Linked DNA regions of Mus musculus: all the other regions are reported to be linked to region 2. Evidence: microRNA targets listed by miRTarBase, many of them from high-throughput screens and not tested one by one. Region 2 holds a microRNA gene; each other region holds the end of a gene's coding sequence.
The links. The annotated mature microRNA mmu-miR-136-5p reads ACUCCAUUUGUUUUGAUGAUGG and lies in region 2 at 2,376-2,397, opposite strand. An mRNA with a match to its seed (bases 2 to 7 or 8) in the 3' UTR can be bound and repressed. Matches are read on the target gene's strand: a 7mer-m8 pairs with bases 2 to 8, a 7mer-A1 pairs with bases 2 to 7 and ends in A, and an 8mer does both.

Region 1 (4,175 bases), not on the chromosome of region 2:
GTTTGCTATAGGCCCAAGATTCTGTCTGATGACATTGTTAGCTTTGGGGCTGGAGGGAACTAGTGATCTGCTAAGTTAATGGGCTCCAAAAAGTTTTTTATCTGTAAGTCACAAGATGTTAACTTGCAACACAGAAATAGGAAAGCATGGGTGGCTCTTCTGAGGGGCTAGAGCTAGTGATGAGCTATTAGACCTGGATCATTTTAATCTCACCACAATACTTTCTCAAAATCTAATTAGTCAATCAATTTCTATAGACATAGCTTCTTTTTAGGAGTTTTCATTTACAGCAGACTCAATATGAGAAGACTTTAATTTTGCTTTTGTTTGGGGAAGCTTCCTCAGGCAGGATAAAGAAATTGGGACCAAATAGAGCCACATATCTCTGCCATGTGGTATAGGTGAGACCTACCTGATGATGAAGACACTGTAAGACACTGTGGTAGGTTCCTTCGACCCTGTGATAGATCCTAGCCTCTGTTCCCTAGATCTGTATGTAGTGTTTCAGTAATATATTTCTCATTTATACACTCAATAATGTATTTCTGCGTTTAGTCCACAGCCTCCGACATGCGATTTGAAGACACATTTTATGGAGCAGATGTAATCCAAGGGGAGAGGAAGAGGCAAAGAGTGCTAAGCTCCAGGCTCAAGAATGAGTATGTGGATGACCCTGTGTATCGTACTTTCCTGAAGAGTTCTTTCCAGAAGAAGTGTCAGAAGAGACAGTAGTTGATAATGTGCAGCAGCCACAGTGCAGCTCAGACCAGAAGAGGGAAGACAAAGGGACAGCCTTGGGGTACACATTGGGACAGGTGGCTGGGTGCTTCTTTGGTATTGGTAATAAACCAGGCTTCTGGAGTTTGATTACCAAGCAACCAAGAAGAGACATATTAGTTGCTTCTGTAATCTGATCACCCCTCAGTCATTTGTTTGACCCCAAAGAATATTCCTAAATTAAAGGAAACAGCAGTGAATGGCCCACTAGATAAAACAACTGCTAAAGAAGCGGGGTTCCCTCTCTGGCTCAGGTCCCTTCCTCAGGGAACACATTTGGAGGCTCCTTTCCCACCTCCTTCAGTGGCAGCCTCATCACCCAACAGCCGGTGGGTGTATTTATATATATTTTCCACAGCCAGGGAAAGAGTCTCACTCACATTTGTTTTCAGTGGCAGTTTTTATAAAACATTTTTAAAACACAAATGGCATGTATGGTAATAGGATTTACCTGTATGCTATCTTCCCTTGTACAGAACTTTTCCATTTTTTATATTATTACTTTTGATTGTGTCTGAAAACTGAGTTGGCCTTTATAAGAGGAAATTTTTTGCTCTTGAAGAGGAATTCATATGAAGTATATGGGAATTTTATATATTTACAGAGGAAAAATCTTGGCCTGATATTTTGAACACTTCATAATTCCTGTTCTGAAATGATATTTATAAAATATATATTTCTTTCATTATGTGTTTGTAAAAATTAGAGTTTAAAGAAATATACTTAATGCATAGTTTTAAACTAATGTAACATGATTTTTCTTTGCAAAACAGCCTGGAGATGTATTAATATTTAAAAATTAAAATCTGTTTTCTCCTGTCCCGTCTTCTGTCTGTCAATTTTCTCTAAATTAAAACACCCCTTATTTGAAGGAGGGGGTTGCTCATGAAACTTCAGAGGTGAACAGAAGTCTGCTTTTACATGACTGCAAAAACAGAAACTGGGAAGGTGTTCAAAAACCCCTTACTAGCTTGGCAAGTAGACTTTGACCAACCAAGATACAAAGGAGAACATGATACATTTTGTAATGCAGTGGCATGATGCGGTGGGAAGGGGGTGCCTCAGCAGGTCCATGCTGAAGCACCCCCCACCGTTCCTGATGTACCAGCCATAGGACCATGGGTCTACTATAAATGAAGTTTACTTGGAGGTATGAGAAGTGGGGTGAGAAGGGACTGAGGGAAAGCGGACAGAGGGACAGAAAGAAAAGAGAGAGAAAGAAGGGAAGAGACCAGTAGGAACACATGGAAAGGTATAGAGAGGAGGGAGAGGGAACAAACAGTCCTTTGATTGCAAGTTAGGCTCCTACCTGACTGTTGCTAGGTAACTGTTGGACAGAATCTAGAAAAATTGCTAACAGTGTATCACAGGACTACCTGAGATGTACAGAGTTTCAGGGTTGCAATTTTTGATTCATCCCTCTTTTAACCCTTACCCATACTCCTCTTAACAACCTCATTAAAACTCATTGGTTAGCCAAGTTGTATGCACTGGTCTATTGTGGATTTCCCTTTCTGGAATGAAAAGGTGTATATGGTCCCTGCATGTGTGTGTGTGTTGCATCTCTCACACAACAGGCTGAGACAGGATCATTCAAGTCTAGTGTATGGGGAAAACTTAGTCTCCAAAATTCCAAAGCAGAAAAAAACAAGTGTTATTGGGGAACTCTGAACACATTTTGTGGCCCAGGCTTTTCAGGCCCTCGTTTTATAGCTAAGTACCTTCATGACAGTATTACTGAGAAGAAAGTATCCACCTATCTCCAGCACTAGCTGAGGTGTTGCCCCAACTTCTAGACCTTTAATTATCTGAGTCCCTTCAGTGTGGAGTGAACCTTAGTAGTCTCAGTTACATACATTCATTTTACAAATGAATGAAAGACAGGAAAGGAAAGGATGACCCCAAAGCATACAGAACAAAAGAGTATACATTTCTATTCACCTGCGACAAAGGGAACATTCAGTTTGCTGATAGGTCTTGAAATTGGGTGACCTGTGATGGACTTGGCTTAACTCCCAACTGCTTCCTATCCCTCTCAATTAGCTAGCCTGGATGTAGTCTCAAAATAAAAATAGACAATGGAGCAAGTAGGCCCAGATGGAGTTCATTTCAGTTCCCATGTGAGGAGCCTCCACGGAATCTCCCAGATCCTAGGTGAGGAGTCACCCCAAATCATGGATTGATTGGGCATTTCAACCATTTCATGGCAAAGGGTGCAGTATCTGCTGTTACCGGGGACAGAGTGAAGTACCAAACCAGCAGTGACAGCCTCAATTAAAACAGTGCTCATTTTCTGGAGTGACTCATGGGATGACCTCAAAGCTAGAGCAAGCCCACCAACCTAATCTCACAGGGATTGACACTAAACCTTTTCTGCTGCCATAATGGGTTTATTTTAGAAGGCTATCAGCCTTGAATTTTCTGTCTTTTAGGTTTTAAATGGAAGTGAACTCTTTTTCACAGTAGTGTAAGATATTGGGAAAGAGTTAATCTAATTAGAAACATTTGTTGTGCACAAGTTTTCCTGACAGCAAAATTTCAGATTGACTGTCACAGCAGGAAAATGTACAGATTCGTGTATGATCTCAAATATAATTTTCCCTTTTAGTCTCACTTAAATAATGTTCTATAACCAAGAACAACCAAATATATTGCCTTTGCAAAGTCCTGGCCACAGATAGACTTTTGTTCACTGTGTTCTTCATAAACTAGCTATTAGCTCTCTCACTAGACAGAACATTAAAACTTTTCACTTACTGTCTGACACTTCAATTGTAATTTTAATTCCTGTGTATTTACGCTAACTGCATGTTCGGTGTGTTCGTGTAGCAGAAAATCAGTTAAAGTCCTCCTACTGATTTATAAATTGCTTAGCTGTGACAATTCTAATGTAATACTAATTGCCAGCCATTTCTCTGCAGGTTAAGAGCTTAGTAAAACTGGTTGGCATATTTCACAATATTTAATTCTTTGTGTGCTTGAAATGAAGACATTGTGATCATTGTCAGTTGAATTTTTGTTTTTAATTCATCTAGAAAGAAATTGAGTGCAAACATCTGCTGAAATACCACTTGACTTCTCAGATTATGTTATTAATTTCCACTAGTTATAGAATAGTACAAAATCATGTAGGAGAAAGCAGGTGGGATGCAAGTGCTACTTACACTTTTAGGAATAGGGGTCTAATATGAAACAGCCTCCATCTCGGATATAAATCAGCCCCGTTAATTCAAAGGTCACCAGTAATCCTAAGGTATTCTCAGTACATTGATATTTTCAAGCCTCACTGACTACAAAGTTTCTGAGAATTAAGTGTTCAGTCATCCAAAATGTTTACTGCTCCCGTTGATTGCATGAATCGGGGACAGTGAGGCCTAAAAACTGAGGCAGACTAAATT
Region 2 (4,175 bases):
TTTTTGTATTGATTATGTTGATTAAATCACATGGTTTAAAAATAATTTATGCTAAGCAACTGGAACTTCATGGTAAAGAAAAGAAATGTCTGTGTATGTGAATATGTGTGCGTTAAATAGGAAAATCATAAGATGAAAATTGTTTATCTCAACTAAAGGTTTATTCTGATATCCAGGCATATTAAAATTTTTAGGACAAGAGATTTTTGGTTGAGGGCTGGAAAGCAGAAATATCTAATCCCTTACATGATCAAATTTGTCTGTAATATTTTAAGTATAGGCATTTTATTTAGAACGGGTATCATTTAGCTTTAAAATCGGATTGCTGCAAATTTAAAAATTGAAACCATGAGCAATTTTTAGGTGGAGACCTGCTGAGATTTTTATGTCCCGCAGATGAACTTGGGGATGAATTAGTCAAATTTTATATTTTAATAATAGACGACTTTTCCTGAAAGAGGAAATAAGTTGATTTATGTAATATGCTGTGCATGTTTCTGAGCTGATGGTCTGTACAGCAGGCTCAGGACCTGTGATCTCCAGTTCTAGGAATGAGAAGCCCAACGTGGACATTATGCTAAGGCCTTTCAATTTCAGCCAGGAGTTTTTTTTTTTTTTTTTTTTTTTTTTTGGTAAGTTTACATGTCAGACATGTTTATATAAAAGGTTTGGATTTAATATTGCCGACAGTAAATAAACAGTGAGAGGCTTTAATCAGAGGGGTTGCATGATCGAATTTAAGTGTCATGCTAACAAGGAGATGTCTAATTCTGAGAAACTGCAGACCCAAAAGCATCCTGCTGCAAGGTTTGGAGGATGGCCAACGGGAGTTTTACATGAATGACAACATGGGAGATTTCTGTTTATTTGGTTTTGTGTGTGTATGTGTGTGTGTTTCTGTTTTTGGATAGGTCAGCCCAGTGACCTTAAAAAAGAAAATTGAGAAGTAACAGAAGGTGCAGAATTCATAAAGACAATAGCTATATGGCTGAGCTATTGAATAACTAGCTTAATTTGTTTTGCAAACCAATACATCCCTTTAAATTCAATTTCCGTGCACTAAACCCTCCATGGCTAGATTTTCAAAAATTACGGAACAATCAGATTTCAAAGGTCCCATGCCCCCCCTTTCACCCAACTTCATACCTCTGTTAGATATACCCCTGTACCAGACGAAATCAACAGTGACAGAAAAGGGGGGGGGGGCACTTTTGAGAACGAAAACCCTGCTCCTGCCGAAGCAGAGGAGAAACTTGGAAAGATAGCATTTGTGAGACGTGCAGAAATGTTTGCATGAGCAGAATTGAGGCCAGATGTTTAAAGCTGCAGGAGCCCTGCAGACCAGGCAATCCTGGGAGAACAGTTTTTTTGAAAGCCCGGGAAAGGGTGTTTAGAAAGCTCCGACTCAGCTCAGAGCTGGAGAAAACGTGGCTTTGGACAGAGATCAAACCGAACAAGAGAAATGATACTATCCCTCCCCCACCCCCCTCTTATCCTGCATATGCACAAAGTGTGACCTAGGATGAAGCCATGAAAGTGCATGTTTTCAGCACATAGTAGGCATTTTATAAACATTTATGGGGAGCAAAATTAAAACCAAAAGCCATGGCTCTCTCTCACTTATTTCGGCTTGGAGCCTAGAGGAGGAAATAAGAGCTATTTTTGGCTGTTGACCCAACTGGCAGGATAGTGGCCAAGTGCCCAATTTCTCCTCTTTCCCCAGTTTGTGAAATAGCAGGCATCTCCCTGCAGATTCCCGCCTCCAACCAAGCTCACTGGGCTGGCTCTAGACCACCAAGCCTGCCAGCAGCCGCTTTGAGTGGCATTGAGATGTGACCTTTATGACTTTTGGGTGACTACAAATGGGAAGGGAACCTGGCCAGGGCAAAGCGGGCCAGAAGTGTGCCCTGCCAGGTGCTAGCTCGCCACAGAGGACGCTCCAGGCCAGTTGCTCCACAAAATTTATGGGCTGTGAATTTCTCATTCCACTAGAGGAAGTAGGCAGGTGGGGTAGTCAGACTCCGCCTGGAAGGCAGGTCAGGGGGTGACGGTCTTTCCCCTGGAGGTGCCCCAAGTAACCAGAAAAGGAGGCTGAACTGAATGCAGGAGGAATTTCTCCATTTTCTCTCTGATTCTAGTAACTTGGCATCTGCTTTGTCCTTGAGATAGAATCTGACCCTGCCATCTTGAGAACCTAAATTGCTACATTTTCTCCTGTCTTTTATCCCTCTGTCCCTAGGTTTTGGTCTCCACAGTTGCGGTCTCTGACCACACACATCACAATCTTACCAGTCTTCAGAGCACACTCCTTTCCAACCGACGACATGATAGAACCCTCTGAAGACTCATTTGAGACGATGATGGAGCTTAAGAATCCATCATCAAAACAAATGGAGTCCTCCGAGGGCTCATCCAACACCGTTGAAGAGACACCAGGCAGCAGTGGAGCCCAGGCGGGGGCCCAGGCAGGGGCCCAGGCGGAGGCCCAGGCGGAGACCCAGGTGGAGGCCCAGGCGGAGGCTCAGGCTGAAGCCCAGGTTGAGGCCCAGGTTGAGGCCCAGGCGGGCTCAGATAGTGGCCCAGCCCAGGAAGAAAAGGAGCCACCCAGTGGCCCCCTCAAGGAAATGCAAGAGCTGCCCACTAATCTACTCCAAGAAGTGGAGGAGCCATCCAGTGGCCCCCACCAGGAAATGCAAGAGCTGCCCACTGATCTACTCCAAGAAGTGGAGGAGCCATCCAGTGGCCCCCACCAGGAAATGCAAGAGCTACCCACTGATCTACTCCGGGAAGTGGAGGAGCCATCCAGTGGCCCCTACCAGGAAATGCAAGAGCTACCCACTGATCTACTCCGGGAAGTGGAGGAGCCATCCAGTGGCCCCTACCAGGAAATGCAAGAGCTACCCACTGATCTACTCCGGGAAGTGGAGGAGCCATCCAGTGGCCCCTACCAGGAAATGCAAGAGCTACCCACTGATCTACTCCGGGAAGTGGAGGAGCCATCCAGTGGCCCCTACCAGGAAATGCAAGAGCTACCCACTGATCTACTCCGGGAAGTGGAGGAGCCATCCAGCGACCCCTGTGAGGCATCATCTAACGATCTACCCCAAGACATGGAGGAATCAAGTGATGATGGTTCGAACCAGGAGTCGAGTGATGGTTCAAACCACGAATTAAGTAATGGTTCAAACCATGAGTCGAGCTTTGGTTCAAACCCAGAGTCGAGCGATGTTTCCAACCTGGAGTCAAGCGGTGGTTCAAACCAGGAGTCCAGCGATGGTTCACAAAAGGAGTCAAGCTATGATTCAAACCCGGAGTTAAGTGATAATTCAAACCAGGAGTTAAGCGATAATTCGAACCAGGAGTCAAGCGACAGTTCAAACCAGTCAAGTGATATTTCAAACCAGGAAGGGTCGGAACCACTCAGTGAGGCATCCGATTATAGCATGGATGAAACAATCAACTCATCCGAGACCCAGTCAGACCAAGATGATACTGACCTGGGAGATGACGAGGAAGAGGAGGAAGAGGAAGGTGGTGAAGAGGAAGGTCAGCCCAAGAACTCTCCAGAAGAAGTCGTGGCCACCATGGGGAACGTCATCTCGCTGTTCCTCCGGATGCAAGACCTAAAAGAACAACAGAGAGTGGCAGAAAGGCTCATGATGCAGGCTATCAACGAAGGTCGCCTGCCCTCCCTCAGGCCCTTCTCTGGAGATCGCAGAGACTACCATGAGTTTGTCGTGCTCTGCCAGATGACAATGCAGAACTACCCAAGTATGCTATACAATGATGAGCTGCGGGTGAAATTCGTCATCCGCCACCTGACTGACCTAGCCTTGGAATGGGCCAACGACCTCGTAGAGCAGAACAGCCCAGTGATAAACAACTTCTCAGCCTTCCTGGAGGCCATGTCAGAAAAGTTTGAGTATCGGCAGACCCTGCGTGTGGCGGAAGACGCCATGTTCAACATCAGGCAGGGGAACCGCTGTGCGGCCGATTACATCAATGAGTTCCGGGGTCTGATACCCACCTTAGGCTGGCCAGATGAAGTCCTGCAGGCCCACCTGTGCCAGGGGCTCAACGAAGAGATCAGGCACTATCTGTTCCGGATCCCTCAGCCGAATTCCCTAGACAACCTGATTGTACTTGTCCTGCAACTTGAAGAAAAGCTGGCAGAG
Region 3 (4,153 bases), not on the chromosome of region 2:
CACAACCACAACCACAACCACCACCACAACAACAAAAGCCTTTCAGTTTTAGAAATAAATATGAGACTAAAACAAGAGAAGATATGGAAAGTAGGTCAGAAATGAAAAGTAGCAGATGTACATCGTGGTGACAAGAAGGAGAAGAGAAGCCAGAGACTGTCTGACCAAGATGAGAGAAATGAAGGGGACATTGGTGCCACTTAGCTGGAGACAGCACTGAAACAATATAATTAGAGAAAATGCAAAATTTATGTAGTGTAATTGAGTGAGTGTATGGTGCTAGCTTTCTTTGAGGTATAAAGTGACAGCATGTGAGCTACCTTAAGCATTAGGCTGGGTCTGGTGTCTGTCTCTTCAGGCAGATGATAATGATGATGGTGATGGTGATGGTGATGATGATGTGGAAGGGGAATCTATATTTCTTCACTTGTAACTAGAGATGGTGGTTTTTCAGGTATTTGAACTGACAAATACCTATTTAATTAACTTGTTTAAAGAAAATCGGGCTAAAAATAATCATAGCTCACCTAATTATAATTTGTTTCAAAACTAAAACAAATTATAAACCAAACTATTATAGCAATAGCTGTGTTACTTTGACCAAGTCTGATCCTCCCTGCAGATCTCCAGTGTTCTCAGCTATTAAACAGCAGTGTCAACTAACACATCACACAAGTCCTTTGAGCAGTACGGTATCAGGGATCTGATTTTATGGTCACTTCACACACAGATTCTAAATATTTAACTAAGATTTTATCTCTCTCTCTCTGTGTGTGTGTGTGTGTGTGTGTGTGTGTGTGTGTGTGTGTGTGTTTGTATGGGCAAGCACACCTAACATGTGAGAGAAGTGCCTACAGATTCCAGAAGAGGTTGCCACTTCTCCTGGATGGAGCTTGAATTGCAGGTGATTGTGAGCCACCCAATGTAAGTGCCCAGAACAGCACTGTGGTCCTGTGGCAAAGCATGATGTACTTAGGCACTGAGCTATCTCTCCAGCTCCTGACTCTCGCTAGGTTCCATATAGATTATGAGCCATCGCACAAGCTTATATTTTCACGTCTCTAAAATACAGACTCTGAGCTCTGGCTGTGTTTCAGGTGATACACATATTCCATCAGATGTCTTCCTCACTGTTGAATAGTTTGCCTAACACATTTAACATCGTAGCTATATTTTATTTTTTTGCAGAATTAGACTTTTCAAGCTTCTCTTGGTTTGTTGTTTCTAAACTGGGAATATATGGATACCGGGCTTTAGAGAGCCACTGTGGGTTTACATAACATCAGGGACAGTCACTAAAAGTGACTGGCAGTACCTAGCCCAGGCTCTGTGGCCAATGAAAGTACTTTGGCAGTGTTGAACTGACAAGTTGAAACTTATTTCCAAACTTTGCTTTAAATTTCGCAGCAGCTTTGATGACACAGCTATTGAAAGATAGAGTTTGACCCATAGTCTCACTTCTGAGCTTAAACTCTGCCTACAGAATCAGGTCTCCCATCTAAAGAAGAGGATTAAATCCCAAGGCACTAACTAGCAAGTCTGTTACTGCTGAGCCTATATTTGGCACCACTGGAACATGCGTAAGCTACCTAATGTTAAAGCGACAAGCCAAACCACACCGGAAATAATGTACTGATTTTACAAAAGGGTAAATAGAACATTTTATTAACACTTGTTTTGCAGCAACAAAATGACAGTTCACATCTCTTTACTCAGCACAGCAAAGGTTATGGTCACATGATAGTACTCTGAGACACAAAGCAGAGAGGGACTTCAGTTTCTTAAGGTCAGGAGTGGTTTGCATTTAGAAACAAACTTCACATTGTATATTTGCAGTAGCAGGGCCTCCAGTCAAGAGCACAGGACACCAGACAGATCAAATACCCAAAACTGACAGGTAAACACACCAGGTGACATTTTGCAGTAAATTGGGATGTGCATTCTTATCAGCGCAAAACATTAGAAAGAGCTCTGAGGTTAACTTTTTTAAAAGAAAGAAATCACTGCTACCACAAGCAACATGGGGATAATTTACACACAGGAGGTTTTATGCTTTGCACTTATTGCTTGGTACACAAATGTTGCAGTTCCTGTTGAATTATATTAAGAAATGACGAGCAAAATGCTTTTTTTTTTCCATCTAAAATTCTATGACTCTATGAAAGTAGAAATTGCAATCCCCAAACCCAACATTAGGTGTATGCTTGTTTTTGGTTCTGTGTGAAAAGTATTTGTTATGTTCGTGTGAGTGGATATGTATAAGATATACAGGGATGTAGATATAATTTTAATATATTTTGTACTATATACTCAAGACAAATATCTCTTATGTGGGACATTAGGTAATAAAATTGTCTACATATAGAATCTCTATTGTTTATCTCTTCATATTATATATAGCTTTGTGGCATGAGTTTCATATAGTCTCTAGTTATCAAGGAAGATTATCTAAATTTTCTATTTATTTTGTTAATATTGCATTTTAAGGGCTATATCATCATAGTAAATTTTTATTAGATTCTTTATGATTATACATATATTAATCATTTTTTCCTAATGCAAGTTACAACCAGTACAAAGTTGTAATAAAAAATACATTGAAGTCTATTTCTTCTTATTTTTTTGCAAAAAAAAAAAGTTATGTGATATGTTACATGAAAGTTGGATTTTATTGAAATGTGAAGGGTTTGATACTGTCAGGTAGTGAATGGGGGAGCATGGAGCATACCCCTCCCTTTACAAGCTCTCATTCATAAAAATAAGTGTTTGTGCCCAAGCATTTCACAAAACACTGCAAGATAAGCTTTTGGAAGATCACAAAATATCACACACTGTGCACTCCTAGTAAGAGTTCAGTACAGTTTGCTAGCTACACAATATAGTTCTTCATTGAAAGATATAGCCACTCCATGATAGACACATAATGATTATAGTCAATACCTGATCTAGCCATCTTTCCTGTTCCACTATGTCTCTAGACAGGCTTTCCCTGGGATAGTTTGCAGTCCAGTGTAATAAATAAGTGCAGTTTGCATGATCCAGTAGCTTTGGCTTCCTAACTTCTGTAGGATGACATGTGCCAACTGTTGTAGTTGTGCTCTCTAAAATGGTGATGGGTCCAACGAATACCTACTTATTTCTACAGGAAACCTTTAAATCACAAACGAAAGGACAAATGGCCTGAATGAAGACGGCATAACGTGACAACTGCCACAGATTGCACTTGATGGGAATCTCATGGTCTGTTTTGAATTCAGATTTTTTTGTTTTTGTTTTTGAACAGCAAGACTTGCTTGGTTGATATGTTTACATGTTCACACCACATTTTTAAAATTATTTTTGTGCAATCACAATTAATTGATTCACAAACACTACAAATGAATCCAGCAACTAGCATCGTTATGAATAATCATCTCGGTCCTTATAGGTGTACGCGTCTTGCGCACCTTCTTGCACAAATTCTTCCTTTTTCTCCCAGCCGTTAGGCCAGCCTCCATTCTCCTGTGAGGTAGCACCGTAAGATTTGGTGGTACCGTAATTTATGTAATTCTGAGTGATGTCCCCCGTTTCTTCATCCAGTTCATCTTCGTGAATGAAGCCACATTTTTCTTCGCTTGTTTCCTCAGGGTCTGCCCAAGGTTGTTTCTCTCCTGAGGCAAATAGTGCATAAAATATGACTCCACCATAGTGGACGAGTGCAGCAATGAGGAAGACATACTGCCATTCTTCACGGGACTGTGGTGAGAAAAGCAAAGGTGTGAGAGCAAATCCCCAAACCGAAAAGCCACCCTGCGAGCGAGCGGGCGAGCGATGGAGTAAGCGAGCAGGCGAGCACTCTGCTAGCGTGCTTTGCACTAAGTGCTATCTTTGGGATTAGCCATGTCATGTGAACAGCTTCGAAATAAAACTATTTGCTTTATTATTTTCTATTTTAAGATAAAGTTTTGAAAATAACATTTCAAATACACCTATAGGCTGCAGAGTTTAAGAATTTCCCCTTTTTATTAATTATTCTCTAGACTTGCCTCTCTCTCTCTCTCTCTCTCTCTCTCTCTCTCTCTCTCTCTCTCTGTCTCTCTGTCTGTCTCTCTCTCTCTTTTTTTCTTGCCTCTTTTTTGATTGCATGCGGTAGCTAAGTAACTGAGCTGCTGGT
Region 4 (4,175 bases), not on the chromosome of region 2:
AGGAAGGAATTAAGTTTGCTGGTCAAAGGATAAGTGCATGCTTGGCTTTAGTTGATATCGCTAAGTTTCCAAGCTCACATTCTCTTTGAAATGGCTATTATTGGTTATTTGAAGTCTCCTGAGAATTGCCAGTTACTTCTATAACTTTTCCTTGTTCATGGAGCGATTGTTCTGCCTCACCACCTCCCTTACTAGTTCAAAACTTGTAAGGTTTGAACACTCTGGTCTCAAGAAGAAACTTCCTACCTAAGCCTACTGTTAGTTTTTATTTAAATACCAAGAATTACTACTTGGGCCTGGAATGGTTTGTATGGTTTTAGTTTGTTTGTTAGGGTGGGTATCTCTCTCTCTCTCTCTCCCTCTCCCTCTCTCTCTCTCCCTACCTATCTACCTACCTATCTCGTCTTTTACCAGCCTTAAATGGTTTCCAAAACATTTCTCTATTTCACACACAAACAAGTTTATTAATACAAAGATATTCACAAATATCCTCTTGCCATCTGTTAATGAAACCTGTAGTCATTTTATTAGTTATTTTTGTTTTTTGTTAATTTTTTCTAACAAGTAAAAACTGATTATTCTCAGATTATGTTTTTCATCCTTTTAAAATTGTATTGACTTCTGCTATTTTATATGTATTTTTTGTCACACCTGCTTTAGGTACAATTTCTTTTTCTTTTAACTTGAGAGGGAAGCTCAGAGCCTTTTCGTATGCTGGTCAATATTATATGATGAAAAAGTAAAAGGATCTATCTCAAGAACCCTATTTTAAATCAGGTCTAAAATCTCTAGGGGCACTGCATCCACAGGAATATTATCTTATTCATTTAAAGCCTTAGTATTTTGAAGCAGAACATTAAATGTTTTCCTCATACCATGCTAGGGAGTAGGGTGTGAACAGTCATTATCTACACGCTCAGTTTCTCCTCTTGGTACACTGGCAAGATGATAACAACACATGTGAGTTCTTAAGTCAAAACCCTAAGGCTGTCCGAGAGATTACCCATATTCTGGGCATTTCATATAAACATATATACACACATATACAAATTACACACACACACACACACACACACACACACACACACACACACACACACTGTATTTTGTTCATAGCTATCTTTAAATGCTGATATCTATACTTCTTTTCATTTTTTATTCTTTCTTTAATTTTTTTCTTATTGAGGCTTCTGTCCATGTTATTCCTCTACTCCAATATTCTCAAATGCTCCATGAGATTAAACAATGAGAAACTGCTTGGTGCTGGACATGGGGCTCTTCAGGATCCTGGGATGTCTGTTATGTACTCTTTACCCTCCCCCAGCAGCTCAAACTCATCAAACCCTTGCAATTTCTGCTGGGACATGTTTCATCAGCAGAGCTTCCTCTAACTGAATTCAAATCTCTTACTTCCTGTTGCAGGGCACATGTCAGGAGGTTGTAGTAGGCTTATTACCAGTTCTTAGATATGGAAATGACTTGGTCATTGAAAAAATCCAAACTCATTTGCATTTATGCATTTAATTTTATTTGGTATACATCTCTATGTCCTTTTTGTAGTTGGAATCCATTACAGGATGTTTAAAGTTTTGTGATTTAGTCACCTCCACAAAGACAATAATACTGCTGTGGAAGACTAATAGGAAGGGTACATTTATTTACAGTTCCTTATATTATATTATAAACCTCTAACCTAGACACTATTACCTAACTTGTAATGAGAGCTTTACACAGACGAGGAAACGATGCCGTTTCTATTCATCTTTAGCAACAGCGTGTCATACAACACCAGAGATTCTGATTAATAGTATGTTTTCTTTAGATAATTATCTAAACTGTTCCCAAAAGAACTAGGTATTTTTAAGAGTTATATAACTAAAACTACTTAAGCCAACATACTTGGCTGGTAATTTCATCTTCAGAATAATTTAAAGTGCTATAAGCAACCTGGCAGTCAACACTTTCTATAAGAACAAAACTATCTTTAGACATCAATTTACAAGATATACAACATTTGTGTGGAACAGCTGAATTTTCAGCACAATGTCACTGTCACGTATAACAGCAGGATTTATTTTTTTGCATAACATGAAGCTCTGAAATTTAACTGACGAATTGTTGCCACATGGCTTATTGTTGGTTTCCTACAAGAAAGAATACAATTGCTAGTTTATTCTACCTTTTCGTTTTTGAGGCCACTTGACAGTAAGCTTGCACATTCACCAAGTCTACTGAATTACAGTATTGTCTACTACAGTCACTGCCCTTTTATAAGAGCAGATGCTAATGGTAACTAATAACATATACCACTTAGAAAAAAACACGTTTTTATTTCAAAACAATTTTTTTTCCTTTTGAGAAGAAACAAAACAAAACAAAACAAAAATGTCTTGGGGTAGTTGGTATGCAACAAGGCTGAACAAGAGAACTGTAAAACAGTGTATCTGACACAATGTTGAAGAAATATGCACGTTTTAGTTTTGTACTTATGATAATGCCCTATTAAGCTACAAATATGTAAATAGTATTACTTGCTTAATATATTAAATCCAATAGAATCATTGAATTCCCATTCTCCTCTGTCAATTCTCCTCTATTCAGTGATGAAAACATGCGCCCAAACCTGCAGACTGTGTGCGCTGTGGTCTATGCCAATCAGACTGCCCCTCCAATTTCATTCTTAAAATGAAATAGAGAATGTTTACAAAATGAATAAAGAGAATGCTGTAGTGAATTAGAACTAGAAGAGGTCTATGAAGCATGTATTATTTTGGCATGTGGTTTCTTATTTAGAACTAAATGTAAGTAGGCCCAAATGTCACCTGTGCCAACTCCACCAGATACAAAAGTATCTAGGCTCCATTTCCTCAATGCCCCGAGTACACTGCTCTATAAAAAGAATCAATACAGATTAAAAACAAGTTGAACAGAGCACCATCCAGTTAGGACTGAGATGACGTGAACTGAAAAGGTGGCGGCCTCTATGATCCAAATGCTGCACTGTGCTGACAAATTCCACCCGCTGTTACACTACTGGATCCCACTACTGGATCCCAGGCCATGGTGTAAACAAAAGAACTCTGGGACAGAAACAGGATTGGAAAAATAAACTCCAAAATTATAGTTGCAGTAAATGGCCAAACAGACTGACTTTAAAGCACGAGTGACATATTAATTGTATTGCTTCTTGAACATTCCAAACGATGCGTTTGTCCATTCAGGTTTGGGCCGATGTCCTGCTACAACCAAGAGCACTGTGTTTATTCAAAAGCCCAGATTTCAATGTCTTGGATAAAGAAATCTTCCTTCTTAGAAAGTGTATGATTCCCAAACGTTTTACAGGAATGGCTTCTTCCATGGTAGAGATCTCCATCAAGCCAAAGAGCAAATTCCCCTCTGAAATACATCAAAACAACAATGATCAACATTCATGCCTTAACTGTAAAGTAACTAAGTGGGTTTTTCAATGTCCACTAGCTCCAGGCCATAAACTTCTCTAAACCTTCCCCTATTCCTTTTCTTTGTGGGACTGGCACAAGATTTTTGTTTTTCTTTCCATTATAAAATCATTTATTACTCAAATTAAGAACACTAAAACTTATTTCATATTATAATTACTTTTTGGCACTTGGTATAAGTATTTCTTTACAATTATATTATTTTCCTTCTCTTAGGGCAGTGCTCTACCACTGACCCCCAAGTCATTGTCTTTGTTGTACAGTTTTAGGGTTTTGTAATTTGGTTTTCTTACAGGTGTTAAAATGAGGGTTAATGATAAAGGTAGGACAACAACCCTGAGTTATCTACCCTAGATGCTTAGGAAGAAATAGCTTGCTGCTAAAAACAGAACCAGGACAAGCAACCAGAGTGTCCACTCAGATACTTCTTTAACAGTGAGAAAACAACACTGGCTTTTTGTTTGTTTGTTTGTTTGTTTTGTTTTTGTAGCAAAGCATGGAAAAGACTTTAAACAGATAAAGAGACATGGTCCTGGGATCCTTCATCAAGCAGTAGGAGCAAGACAGAAGCCAGGTGTGATCGGGCTTAAAGGACCTCAGTGGAATAGACTTCAGGGTCATCTCGCTCTTAACTGCTGATGTTTCTCTTCAGCTTCCAAGTGAATGTTAAAGTGGGAAGGACTACAGTTATCTGTGGACATAAGGACAAACATTTAA
Region 5 (4,175 bases), not on the chromosome of region 2:
TCTTTGGGATAAGAGTTGTTTTGAGAACCCTTTTCCAGCCCTAGTTTGATGAAGTTCTTAGGGAGGCTTCTAAAGAGACAGATTGCCAGGCCTGAGGCCCAACCAGAGGACTCTTGGCTCTAGAAATGAGCCTTTTGAAAAGCATTCTAGATCATCCCACCCTTACTAAAGGCTTCATGTGAGGTTTTCTGCCTCAATTCTCTGGCACTTCAACTCAAATTTCCAAAGCCTGCTGGGCTCTCTGCAGAATGACTAAGCTTCTGTAAGGCAAAGGGCACTGTCAAGACAAAACGGCAACCAACAGACTGGGGAAAGATCTTTTCCAAAGATCTAAATCTGATAGAGGGCTAATATCCAATATATACAAAGAGCTCAAGAAGTTGGACTCCAGAAAACCAAATAACCCTATTAAAAAATGGGGTACAGAGCTAAACAAAGAATTCTCAACTGAGGAATACCAAATGGCTGAGAAGAACCTAAAATAATGTTTAACATCCTTAGTTATCAGGGAAATGCGAATCAAAACAACTCTGAGATTCCACCTCACACCAGTCAGAATGGCTAAGATCAAAAACTCAGGTGACAGCAGATGTTGGCAAGGAGGTGGAAGAGAAACACCCCTCTACTGCTGGTGGGATTCCAGGGCCAGGAAGCAGGAGTGGGTGGGCTGGTGAGCAGGGAGAAGGGGGAAGGGATATCCTCACTGCTCTAGAGGATAGTGCAGCCAGTTGGAAAGAAAAGTGGGATACATGGGCAGCATCAGGATGGAAGTGGTCACTGAAGGGAGAAGAAGCCAGTCAAGGAGAAGAGGCCTCCGGCAGAGCAAGGCTTCCAGGAAGGCCATCTGAAATCACAGTTGGGATAGATAGAGCAGAGTACCAATTCAGGGTAACAAGGAGGACTTAGGCATTGAAACTCAGCCACAAAAGTGAAAGCCGACAAACAGGGATTGAGAGAGAGGATATAAGGATGGATGAGGGGCTACTGGAGATAAGGCAGCCACAGTCCATTTCCAGACCTGCACAGCAGTGGCTCACAGGAATTTAGAAAGTTTTGTGAAATGGGGTTGAGGTCAGTTGGATTCAAATTTATAATATTCCTGTCTTAGTCTCCTGACTGCTAAGATTACGACCCTGTGCCACCACAACAAGCTGGGAAATTTCAGTTTTTTGTTTGTTTGTTTTCTTATCTTGAGACAATAGATTTCTCTGAGTAGCCTTAGCTGTCAGAGAACTCATTCTGTAGACCAGGTTGGCCTTGAACTCACAGAGATCTGCCTTCCTCTGTCTCCCAAGTAATGGGATTAAAGGTGTGAGCCACCACCACCCAGCAGGAAATTCAGTTTTTCAGGATGAGGATAAGAATGTGTTTGTAGAGGGAGGGAGGGAGCGAGTAGAATTACAAATAAAATCAAGAGTGAGTATAGCTCATTGTCAATTTGTATTTTGGTATTCTGCCCTGATGGTTTGACAGATTAACCCCTTAAGAGAAATCTGACACAGAGGTAGTCATTGAATGGACACCTTTTCCTTAAAGGGCCAAAAGGTAAATATTTTAGGCTTTGTAGCAAAAGTCAACGTCAAAGACATTGTGTTATTTACATACTGCTTAAACAGAAACCTGTTCTTATTTGAAGCTATGTCATGCATTTTACTACCCATTTATAGCACAGAAACCTGTTATAGGCTGTGACAAAAATAGGCAGTGTGGATAGAAGGTACACTGGATTTGGCCCAAGTCATAGCTCACTCACTCAATTTAAAGCAGGCACCTCGTTCTTGGTCTAGAGACTTGGGGGAAGTTTCTTTCCTTCTGTCCTGATGACTAAGGATGAGGTAAAAGGAAAGTTTAAATCCTAGCTACATGAAGTTGAAAATATTTAAAGCAAGAAAGTTGGAGTTATGGGAAAAGACTGCAAATGCTATAAAAACAAAAATAGGAATAACTGTATATTTAACAAAACTGAAATAAAGACAAAACTAATTTTAAAGAATATCTCATAAAAAGGGAGAATTCTCCAAGATGATCCAACAGCCATGAACTTTATTACCCCTAAAAACATAACTGGGAACTACATAGAGCAAAACAAATAGAAATAAATGAGAATAATTGACAAAGCTGTAATCGTGGGCATGACTTCAAAATCAACAAGTCAGAAATGGGAGCTGGGGTGCAGACATAAAATCTCAGCACTGGAAGCCTGAAAGCAGGATTGCCATGAATCTGCGGCCAGCCCAGGTTACACATGAAGCAGGAGGATTGCCATGAGTCTAGGAAAGGAGGGCAGGCTGTTTACTCATCCTGACTCCCGCGGCTGCATCATCTCTAAGCCCTGCTCTTTCCCATTATTACAGGAGTGGAAGGTGTCTGCCCTGTCAGGGTCTGCATCCACCCCTTCCTTTCTTATCACACTCATCTGTCTGTTCTGAGACTGGGTGAGGCCTTTCATCATTTCCCCCATTTGAAAGTCAAGTAGACCTTATCTCTTTGGATTCAAGGTCTAAATTTGTTTTATTTCTTCCTACTGTTTTAATGTAATTCCTATTTCAACTGTATTTATACAACCTTGCATATTTAACTATGATTTGCATTGTGGAAATTAATTTAGCTCAATAAACATTAACTGTGCAAAGCAAAATTACCTAGAAAATGTCAAGTTTCTTAATAAACATTATCCTTTTGCAAAAGCACCAAAATACTTTCTATCTAGAAGTAACGATTATTTCCAGCAACTGCGTGAGCCTCGGGCATTTTTCACATCTAACTTGTGATGTTTCCTCTGGAAATGTGCGACTCGTTTGTCTACTGTCTACTTCTCTCTCCAGGGGACTCAGGGTCTGCAACTAGAGCGTCTTCTCCCGACTGTAAATCCCTAACACTGATCAATGGCTTCACCAGCTGGATATCTGATTAGGCTTTGCCTGTTTTTCATTTACATTGTAAAACATAGATCTTTGTCTTCACAAATATAAAATTATCTAATATACTATATAAATGACTACATATATTTATACTGAATGTATGTTTTCAGACTACCAAGTCTCCATTCCCTATCCTTATGAGATTGTGATATTATTTTCTTATGGGGGTATATTTCTCTTAAGAATCAATTTTGAAAACCAAAATTGAATTTCTCAATTAATTACTATTTAGGATAAAGTCCAATAACCAAGTTTGAGGGAAAATACTCAATTAAAATACAGAAATAAATCATACTACCAAAAAATAGTGCATGATCTAATAAATTATTTTCAGATGATTAGGCCAAATTACTTAAACTTTATAGTTGAAAACTAATACAGGGACATGTTTTTTAAATGGGCTGCTAAAAGCCACCACATAATACATCTTTCATATAGTTCAATTATAGCAGCCAAACATACTCCTTTTGTTGGTTAAAATAACATTTGGGACTTTTTGTTATTGTCAATTATATGGCCTACAAGCTACACTTTTTATTTTCTACTATTTTTGATATTTAGAACTAAGATTCTAGATTTTTCCAAATAAATTTTATCAGCTTCTACCTTGTTTAGCCACTTACCACTGAATCTATAAAGTATTGAATAAAAATTGCCAAGTGTAACAAACGCTCCTCTGGCTCATACCACAGTACAAAGATTTAGTAGGAATATAAAGTGACTATTTCTGTCAGCAATACCAATACCTCAAATGGTTTCTTCTTCCCAAATGCTGCTAGAGTGAAACTTTTGTATACTCTGCAACTAGGATGAGAAATATGCGTTCAGAAGCTTAGAAATAGACTTAGAGTAGATTGGAAAGAGACAGGAACAAAATCCAGGCCTGAGACCAGGACAAGGGAAGTCCAAGGAAGCCCTGCACTGCTCTAGACCCTGCTCAATAAGGCACAGCAGCTGGAAATGGTTTGTCAGTGACGCAGAGGGCCCATCCCACAGTCATCAGTACTCTGCATCGATGTGCTTGGCGATGGTGTTCAGCTGGATGTTGGAAGCTCCTTCATATATTGTACCTTAAACAACAGGGAGAAATGGGACAATTAGGAGTGTGCCCACAGCTGAAGAGAACCGCACAGAGATGAGTATGGAAGACACCAAGCACCCCTGCACTTGCTCTCAGTAACAGGATTCAGTTTCTAAAGTGATTCTGACAGGGTAACAGTTTCCCATTTGATCTGCAGCCCACTAACACCAGCT
Region 6 (4,175 bases), not on the chromosome of region 2:
TCCCTATGTTCCACAATTGGAGCCTGTGATGTCTTTAGAGCTACAGTTCCATGGCCTGGCTCTGATGCCAGACAGTGACAGTGGCAGTGGCCTATATTATTCTAGGCCCCTGAATACCTCCATGACCAACAACTGTTCAAAGGGAGGTTAGATGACAAGGTAAAGAGCTTTGGGAAATTTTACAAATAATTTTACAGACCATAAAATGTAATGGCACACTGTAAGAACTTACTGGAGGGGCGGAGGGGATAGGGAGCTCACTGTGGGCTACGGGGGATTAGAGGGAAAGCCCACCCCTCTGCTCACACAGTTTCTTCTGCCCTCCCAGGTACCGTGTGGTGGTCTCCTACCCTCCACAGAGTGAAGCGGAGATCGAGCTAAAGGAAGGTGATATCGTCTTCGTGCACAAGAAGCATGAAGACGGCTGGTTCAAGGGGACACTGCAGCGGAATGGCCGCACAGGTCTCTTCCCAGGCAGCTTTGTGGAGAGCTTCTGAGGACCACTGCTCATGGCTAGCTTCTGTTGTCCTGGAGAGAGCAGAGGATGCCCGCCTTATCACCAAAGTCCGAGCGAGGTTCTTTCTAAAGCACCGGCCAGAAACAAGCCGATGATTCACGTGAAGTCCTTATTGGAAGCACACATGGGCCATGGCGTGTTTGTGAAGATAGGCCATATCCTCATGTGACATCCTACTGGAAGCACATGTGAGTGTCCTGCAAGACCACGCCATGAGTCTGAGTGAGCAGTAGCACAGAAAATGTTACCCACATGGACAAAGGCGCTGCTCTGTCACCCAGCGGCTAAAGCGTTATTGTGTAAGGTTGGGAGCCCGGGAGGGTATAGAGTTGGGCCATGTGCTAGGGCTGACAGCAAGAAGAGCATCTTCCCTGCCTGCCCTGGGTACCATTCCTCTATATACCTCTGTCACCTACCACCAGGCCTCACCGCCAGGGCATTCATGGTTCAGGAGCCTCATAGAAGGGCTGTGAGCCTCCCAAGGTGTCCAGTGGGGTCCTGTGGGGCACTGGAGCAGAACCCTCTTGTCTTTGTCTCCTACTGGGATAATGAGGTGCACCGTCCAGTTCCTCCGCCGCTGTCTTCACACTGCTTCCTTCTTACGGCACACCTTTTTAATGTACAACTCTTAGACTTTATATATTTCTAATAGGTCAGACGCTGCATATTTTTCATACATCTGGTGCTGATTTTTTGTAAAACCAACCTGGGTAAGTGTCAAGGGGGGAAAAAAAGAAGTAACATCAAAGGAAAGTTTTCTATATTTCCCAGATGAAGTTTGGAGCATATTGAGGAATTCCTATCTGTAATATCACAATGCTGGCTGGTGCTCCATGCAGCGAGAGGGAGGGTCTGTGGAGAGGGTGCATGGAGTCGGAGCGTCTTCCCAAACGGCTGGAAATAGCTAACCCACAAGCTCCATCTAGATGAGAGTGATTGCTATGACTAAAAAACTGGAAACAAATGAAGGAGTGGGTTCTGCCTTTGTGTGTGGCAGAAAATGCACATAGACAGACAGACAGACACATACACATATATACACACACAGACAGACAGACACACACACATATACACAGACAACACACACACTCACACAGACACACACACACACACAGACACACACACATACATAGACAACACACACACACTCACACATACACACACACAGACACACAGACACACACACAGACACACACTGACCCCAGAAGCTTCCTTTGATTGCTTTAAAGAGAATGACTAAAAATAGCATTCTGAAAGCACGTCTTTCTACCAAAATGCAGCTTTTACAACAGCTCAGATCCACTCTCTTGCAAAGGATTTTTTTTTCCTTTTCAAAAATAAATAGCTTGCCCTCTGAGGCCAGGCAAAACTCATCTGCTAGAGACCAAAGGTACAGTGATAACACAAGCCTGATGCTTGTCTATAGACTTACAGGGCCTGCAGACGCTGGAAAGGAATGAGGGCTGGTCTCTGACTCTGAGGCCTTACGTATATTCACTGTCACAACAGCTTGCTGCCCAGGAGGCTAGCCTGATGGCTATCAGGAGGTGTGAGTGTCACACTCTAAGAACACTTTTTTTTTTTCAAAAATTTCTCAAAAAAAATAGCAATTTGTGAGCCTCTGGGTACATTTTTATAAAATCATGCAGCCCTGTATCAAGTCTTTGGTAGCAGAGGCTATCACTGATTTTCATAATAAAATAAAGAGCACTTATGCTCAACGTTTCTGTCTGGGGATATGACTAACTAGTTGTGACTGCCGGGTGGCTACCACATGGATGTAATCACACCCAGACGGTCTCACCCTCCCCCAGGTGATAGCACCCTTATTGGACATAGAAAACTGTTGTGAGCCAAAGAGACGCTCTATCTCAGACATAGGGACCCCTGTATGCAGGCTCGGTGACAACCACATGATATCTACTCAGTGTCACTGCTAAATGACTTGCCCATCCATGCACAAAAGATCTAGGTATGGTTCCGTGCTGCCACCATGGAGGTAACACAGATCTACATCCTGGGTGAGGCATGTTTTCAGTGGAACCAGAGCTAACTCCAGATCCCAGACAATGAAGCAAGTCCCTTTCCCTTCTAAACAAGGTCAACTCTGAGTCAACAGAACAGACTTCACTTGGAACTGTCTTCCTTTCTTGCACTGGCTGCCTCGTGATAGAGGAAGTAGCAGCCTCACAGAAAGCAGAGGAAAGCATCAAGGTACCGTGGAAAACATCAGCTGAATCCTCTCCTAGCAAAGTTTACACTGCGACCAGCATGGGGAGGGAAGCAGGGCCCTGGGGCTCATTCTCAGGTGGGGCTTTTGAGACACACAATGAACCCCATGGTCTGAGTATTCTGAACACTCCCAAGCCCTTGAGCCTTCAAAAATCATGTTTTCCACAGCCAATGACAGAAAAGAGGTACCTTTCCTAAGGTCATCTTCCCTTGAGGACACACGTCTGTGGCACCAAAATGAAGCCAGCACCTCATCTAGAACCTTCACATTCCGTCCTGGCCAGCAGCATGTGCCCCTTACTCATACACTTGTATTTGGTGGCCACGTGGGTTTCACTCCTTAGTTCTCAGCCCTTCAGATAGACGGTCAGCAAGGAGACAGGACAGTCTAGCCTCCAGAGGACTGATGGATCTCGAGAGACAAGATGGTCCATAGTGAGGCGTAAATACAAGGCGGAGCACCCCAAAATCAGCCCAGTAGATGTGGAAGCCCTTGTACTTTGCACAACACACACCGAGACAGACAGACAGAAAGACACGTGCACACGTGTGCTCCCAACCCCACATATGTTTTTATTATACACCAATGTCAGTGTGTGATTTTAGATGAATTGACAGTAGTGGCCATCTCTGATGCCTGTGTTTCTGAGTCTTTAAATAAAGATGAACATGGAGAGGCTGTGTGTCTCAATAACGGGACCAATGCAGGTGGGGTAGGCGTGAGCCTGAGAGGTTGGGATTCAGGCCCTGGGGGGGGGGCACTGAACTGAGGGTGTTGGTTTAGTTGCTGGTCTATGGCTGTGAAGAGACACCATGACCAAGAGACGCTTGGGAGCTTGCTTAAAGCTTCAGAGTGGTAATCCCCAATCATTATGGTAGGAAGCGTGGCGGCAGGCAGGCAGGCAGGCAGGCAGGCAGGCAGGCAGGCAGGCAGGCAGGCAGGCAGGCAGGCAGGCAGGCAGGCATGGGACTGGAGCAGAAGCTGAGAGCTCAGTTGCAGGCAGAGAGCGAGGGAGACTGGACCTGGCATGGCTTATGACACCTCAGAGCCCATCCCCAATGATAAATCTTCACCAACAAGGCCACACAAATTCATCCTCCTAAACAGTCCACCAACTGGGAACCAAATGTTCAAATATATGAGCAGAAAGCGGGGTGGTGTTCTCATTCAAGCTATCATAAGGGCACTGCCTGCAAGCCCAAGCCAGCCCCAACACTCACGCTTGTCACCTTCTGCTCCTTCAGGGGGACACAGACTCAGTGTCTATCAGGACTGGGCACAGGGATCCTAAGAACTTGTGGCCAGCAGTGAAGTTGACCATGATCTATACCCAGCACACGTTGGACGGCCACTAGTTGGATAAGAAGCAGCAGCTATAGATGCCATCATGGCAAGGAGTCAGAAGTGTCTAGTTCCCTGCCAGGA
Region 7 (4,175 bases), not on the chromosome of region 2:
GCACATGTGCGTGTTTCCTGTCCTCTGTCCCCAGTGCCCTGTCTCCCGTGAGAGAGAGGGGGGGGGCGGGAAGGGAGGGAGAGATTGAGATTTTCTCATTTTCCAGTAGGAATATTCTGCTTTCTGAGTTCTTTCATCTGTTGTCGCCGGAAACCAAAATTAAGGATTGGGGAAGGGACTTGGAAGATGAGCTAGTAAGAATGAATGTTAATACTGTTTAACTAATCTAATTCTTTTTATATGGTGGCTTTTGTTACAATTATATATATATATATATATATACACACACACACACATATATATATATGTATATATATATATATATATATACACATACACACACACATACATATGTGTGTATATATATATATATACACACATACACACACATATATATGTGTGTGTATATATATATATATACATATATATATATATGTATATATATAATACACACACACACATATAATTGCACATGCCACCCAGCATGTGTGTGGAAGTCAGAGGACAGCTTGCAGGAGAATGCTTCTCTTCTTCCACCACGTGGGTTCTAGGGATTGAATTTAAGTCTTCAGGCTTGGTGGAAAGTTCCTTTACCTGCTGAGCCATTTTATTGGCCCCAGTAGCGACTTTTCTATCCTTTCTTAGGCGTCGAGGTGGAAAGTACGCAGTGGGATCAGCTTGCATTGGAGGTGGCCAAGGCATCGCCTTGATCATCCAGAACACAGCCTGAAGGCATCACAAGCACACTGCCCACACTTACTGGGCCAGGCCACGGAACACAGGAGACCTTCGAGTCAGCCCTGCTGAGACAGTGATTGTATGTGACCAAGCCTTGATGAGGCAAGATGCATTGGGTTCTGTCTACTTCATACCTGTCTGACGTGTTAGAATAAAAACACCAACCATCGGAGGCCTTAAGAGAAATGGTATCTGTCAGTAGTCACCACTGTATGCCTTCCATGGAGTAATACAAACTGAATAAATGTTGCCTTAACTCCAGCTAACCTTTTCTTGTTGGTTTTTTTAATTACATAAAGTGTCTCATTGTACCGGGTTGTAAGCGTGCAGTTCAGTACCATTGAGGACACTGACAGGACTGTGCCAATAGCGACACTGCCTACTGTCAGGATCTTTCATCTTGTACCGCTGAAACTGTTTCTATTCTTAAAATGTGTCATTTTTATGTGCCATGTGTCCCTGGGTATGGGCATGTGTGTTGTAGATACCCTCAAAGACCAGAAGAGGGCATTAGATCTCCCAGAGCTGAAGTTATACCCAGTTGTGAGCTGTCCTTTGTGGGTGCTCTGGACCTCTCGATGTGCAGTGACTTCATTAACCACGGGACGCCTCTCCAGCCCCTCCCCCCCCCCCTTCTCATTTTAAGAAATGATTCTCCATTCCCCTCTCACAGTCTGAGCAACCACCATTCTATTCTCTGTCTCTGCATGCTTCCCTGCTCTGGGAAGCTCATGTGAGCGAACCCACTGACCTTTCATGACTGAGTATTTCAGTTAGTGTAACACCTTCAGGATCTACCCTTGTTGTAGCATATGTCAGAATTCTATACATTTTTAGTGGTAAATATTCCTTTGCACATGTCTTATCTAGCCATCACCAACTTCACAGATGTTGAGTGAGGCACTGTTATTAGTTACAACCCAGTACCAATCTCTCCCTTGCTCCAGGGCCTCCATGGAACTGCCCCCTTGACCTTCCTCATAGACATCTTAAGCTTGCCTTGCTCAGTAGCTGGGGTTTTTGGTTTGGTTTGGTTTGGTTTTTCAGGACAGGGTTTCTCTGTGTAGCCCTGGCTATCCTGGAACTCACTTTGTAGACCAGGCTGGCTTCAAACTCTGCCTCCCAAGTGCTGGGATTAAAGGCGTGCACCACCACGCTCGGCTTCAGTAGCTGTTTTTAGACCCCACTTATGTGCCTCCTTTGAGGTCCTCTTAGTTCCAAAAACCCGGTAATCCCTTGGACCCCACTCTCTCCCCCACACAGCAGTAAATGTTGTCAAGTCTTCTGAGGGCATATCTCAAGACTGTCGACCTCAAGAGCCCCTTGCCTGGACTACTGTGCTGGATTGAACGAGAACGGCCCGGTAGGCTTATATGTTTTGAATACTTGATCCCTAGATGGTAGTAGTGTTTGGAAAGGATTGGGAGATATGGGCTTTTTGGAGGAGATGTGTCACTGGGGTAGACTGAGGTGTCGAAAGCCCATTTCCAGTTACTCTTGCTGCCCTGTGCTGTGGATCAGACGTAAGCTCTCAGCTGGTTTTGCCTGCTGCCATGTACCCCACCATGATGGCCATGAACTCTAAAACTAGAACCATGAGCCCCCCCCCCCAAAAGTAAATGTTTTTTAATTGGTTGCCTTGGTAATGATGTTCTGTCACACCAAGAGAAGAATAAGTAGCATCTACCTTTCCCAAGAGCTCCTACCTCCATTTTTGTCTGCTTTCACTCATTCTCCAACAAGCCACCAAGGTCAATGTCTATGATGGGTGTTCCTGAGACTTCCTATGTCAAAGCAATTAATCTAAATCTCTTTACCTTAGCCTCAGGCGGCCTCTTCAGGCAAGGGCAAAAGTAGCCACATTCTTCACCAAAATACCACAAAAACAGTCTCTAGGCCACATACTGAAATTCTTCTCCACTAAAGCCTCTTGGGCCTGGTCCACACAATTCAAATCACTCTCAGTAACAAAGTCTTCCATATTCCTACTAGGGTAGCCCATTAAGCCCCACGTAAAGCTTTCCATTGCTTTCCAAATCCAAAGTCTCAAAATCCACATTCTTCCAAACGAAAGCATGGTCAGGCCTATCACAGCAATACCCCAGTCCCTGGTACCAACTTCTGTGTTAATTAGGGTTTTACTACTGTGAACAGACATCTGAAAGAACCTAGTGGGGAAACCCCCACTCTGTTCCCGATTCGGCCGTGCACCCAAGCATCACGAACAAACAGACCGTCTTGATGTAAAAACATGAGGTAGTTTAATGGCGGAGCTCTGGGTCAAAACGTATCTCACGCAGGAGACAGTGGATTCGACTATGAGGCTTGGAAGCTAGGGGTTTTTATGGAAAAGGAGCTGGGGATGGGGGAGGAATTGGTGCAGTTTCACATGATTGGTTCATTTAAAAATCAGTAGGGAGGAATTGGCATGGTTTCACATGATTGGTCCATTTAAACATCAGCAGACTGTACATGCAGATAACATTTAACTTAGGTCAGAAGGGCGGGAGATAGGGAGGTGCCAGGCCAGTCCGGACAAGTCATTCTCTTTATCTTCATGGCCTAGCAGCCTCAAGAATGTCTTATAACGACGGGCCTGCCCAGGCATGTCTTGGCCTGTTCTGCTATGTTCTCAGCCCCAGGTTTCAAAGCTAACAACTCTTTGGGCTATTTGACATAAATTACATGAACCACAGGTCTCAAGTTTTATTTTCTTTCACATCCTGACCAAGGCATCTCCTATAAGGACAACATTTAATTGGGGCTGGCTTACAGGTTCAGAGGTTCAGTCCATTATCATCAAGGCAGGAACATGGTAGCATCCAGGCAGGCATGGTACAAGAGGAACTGAGAGTACTACATCTTTATCTGAAGGCTGCTAGCAGAATACTGGCTTCCAGGCAGCTAGGATGAGGGTCTTAAAGCCCACACCCACAGTGACATACCTACTCCATCAAGGCCAACCTACTCCAACAGGGTCACACCTAATAGTGCTTGCTACTCTCTGGACTGAGCATATCCAAACTGTCACAGTCATCTTTTAACTGTACATAGTAGGACACATACACACACAGCTTAAACCCTGAAGCAGCTTTCTGCCACACATGGGATAAAATCTAGACCTTGGAGATCCACACTTGGAGACTCTCGGTCCCCAAGATGCTCTGGCCCCTACTTCTCTCTTACTCCATATCTTTGTCCTCTGGCTCCCTGTGCTTCAGTCCTACCTTTTGGCTGCCCACCTTCCACATGACTTTAAGCTCTGGGTCTTGGTGTCTAGTTGCTCAGTCTAGATTGCTATATCTTCTGGCCCACCAACCCATAGGCCTACTTATCCTTAGATCGCAGGCTGGCTCTCTGTCCCTGTCACTGTCTCTCCTTGTGACCTTCCAGCTGTTAGGAGTTTGTATTGACCTCCTAGTCTCTGTTCATTCTCT

Region 1: the mRNA of Kdm4c is a reported target of mmu-miR-136-5p. The part of its 3' UTR that is shown has no 7-base or 8-base seed match.
Region 3: the mRNA of Slc17a6 is a reported target of mmu-miR-136-5p. The part of its 3' UTR that is shown has no 7-base or 8-base seed match.
Region 4: the mRNA of Oxr1 is a reported target of mmu-miR-136-5p. Seed matches in the 3' UTR shown: 7mer-m8 at 2,858-2,864.
Region 5: the mRNA of Acadsb is a reported target of mmu-miR-136-5p. Seed matches in the 3' UTR shown: 8mer at 3,041-3,048.
Region 6: miRTarBase lists Sh3rf3 as a target of mmu-miR-136-5p. Seed matches in the 3' UTR shown: 7mer-A1 at 3,419-3,425.
Region 7: miRTarBase lists Acaa2 as a target of mmu-miR-136-5p. The part of its 3' UTR that is shown has no 7-base or 8-base seed match.

Annotation. Positions count from the first base shown.
Region 1 is chr4:74,404,266-74,408,440 of GRCm38, forward strand. It overlaps Kdm4c (lysine (K)-specific demethylase 4C), which reads left to right. Exons shown (of 22, transcript NM_144787.2): 22 at 556-1,599. The coding sequence ends at 732. Among named protein-coding and RNA genes, the nearest start is that of Kdm4c, 150 kb to the left of the region's middle.
Region 2 is chr12:109,593,553-109,597,727 of GRCm38, reverse strand. It overlaps Mir136 (microRNA 136), which reads right to left and starts at 2,401; the gene lies at 2,340-2,401. It overlaps Rtl1 (retrotransposon Gaglike 1), which reads left to right. Exons shown (of 2, transcript NM_184109.2): 2 at 2,240-4,175. The coding sequence starts at 2,325. It overlaps Mir434 (microRNA 434), which reads right to left and starts at 3,222; the gene lies at 3,129-3,222. It overlaps Mir432 (microRNA 432), which reads right to left and starts at 2,772; the gene lies at 2,698-2,772. It also overlaps Mir3071.
Region 3 is chr7:51,668,607-51,672,759 of GRCm38, reverse strand. It overlaps Slc17a6 (solute carrier family 17 (sodium-dependent inorganic phosphate cotransporter), member 6), which reads right to left. Exons shown (of 12, transcript NM_080853.3): 12 at 1,634-3,735. The coding sequence ends at 3,400. Among named protein-coding and RNA genes, the nearest start is that of Gm33136, 46 kb to the right of the region's middle.
Region 4 is chr15:41,858,379-41,862,553 of GRCm38, reverse strand. It overlaps Oxr1 (oxidation resistance 1), which reads right to left. Exons shown (of 17, transcript NM_001130166.1): 17 at 1,506-3,396. The coding sequence ends at 3,261. Among named protein-coding and RNA genes, the nearest start is that of Abra, 9.3 kb to the left of the region's middle.
Region 5 is chr7:131,444,053-131,448,227 of GRCm38, reverse strand. It overlaps Acadsb (acyl-Coenzyme A dehydrogenase, short/branched chain), which reads right to left. Exons shown (of 11, transcript NM_025826.4): 11 at 2,017-3,991. The coding sequence ends at 3,921. Among named protein-coding and RNA genes, the nearest start is that of Gm39099, 16 kb to the left of the region's middle.
Region 6 is chr10:59,135,492-59,139,666 of GRCm38, forward strand. It overlaps Sh3rf3 (SH3 domain containing ring finger 3), which reads left to right. Exons shown (of 10, transcript NM_172788.3): 10 at 329-3,425. The coding sequence ends at 497. Among named protein-coding and RNA genes, the nearest start is that of Gm23223, 58 kb to the right of the region's middle.
Region 7 is chr18:74,805,210-74,809,384 of GRCm38, forward strand. Acaa2 (acetyl-Coenzyme A acyltransferase 2 (mitochondrial 3-oxoacyl-Coenzyme A thiolase)) reads left to right here. Exons shown (of 10, transcript NM_177470.3): 10 at 646-998. The coding sequence ends at 730. Among named protein-coding and RNA genes, the nearest start is that of Acaa2, 28 kb to the left of the region's middle.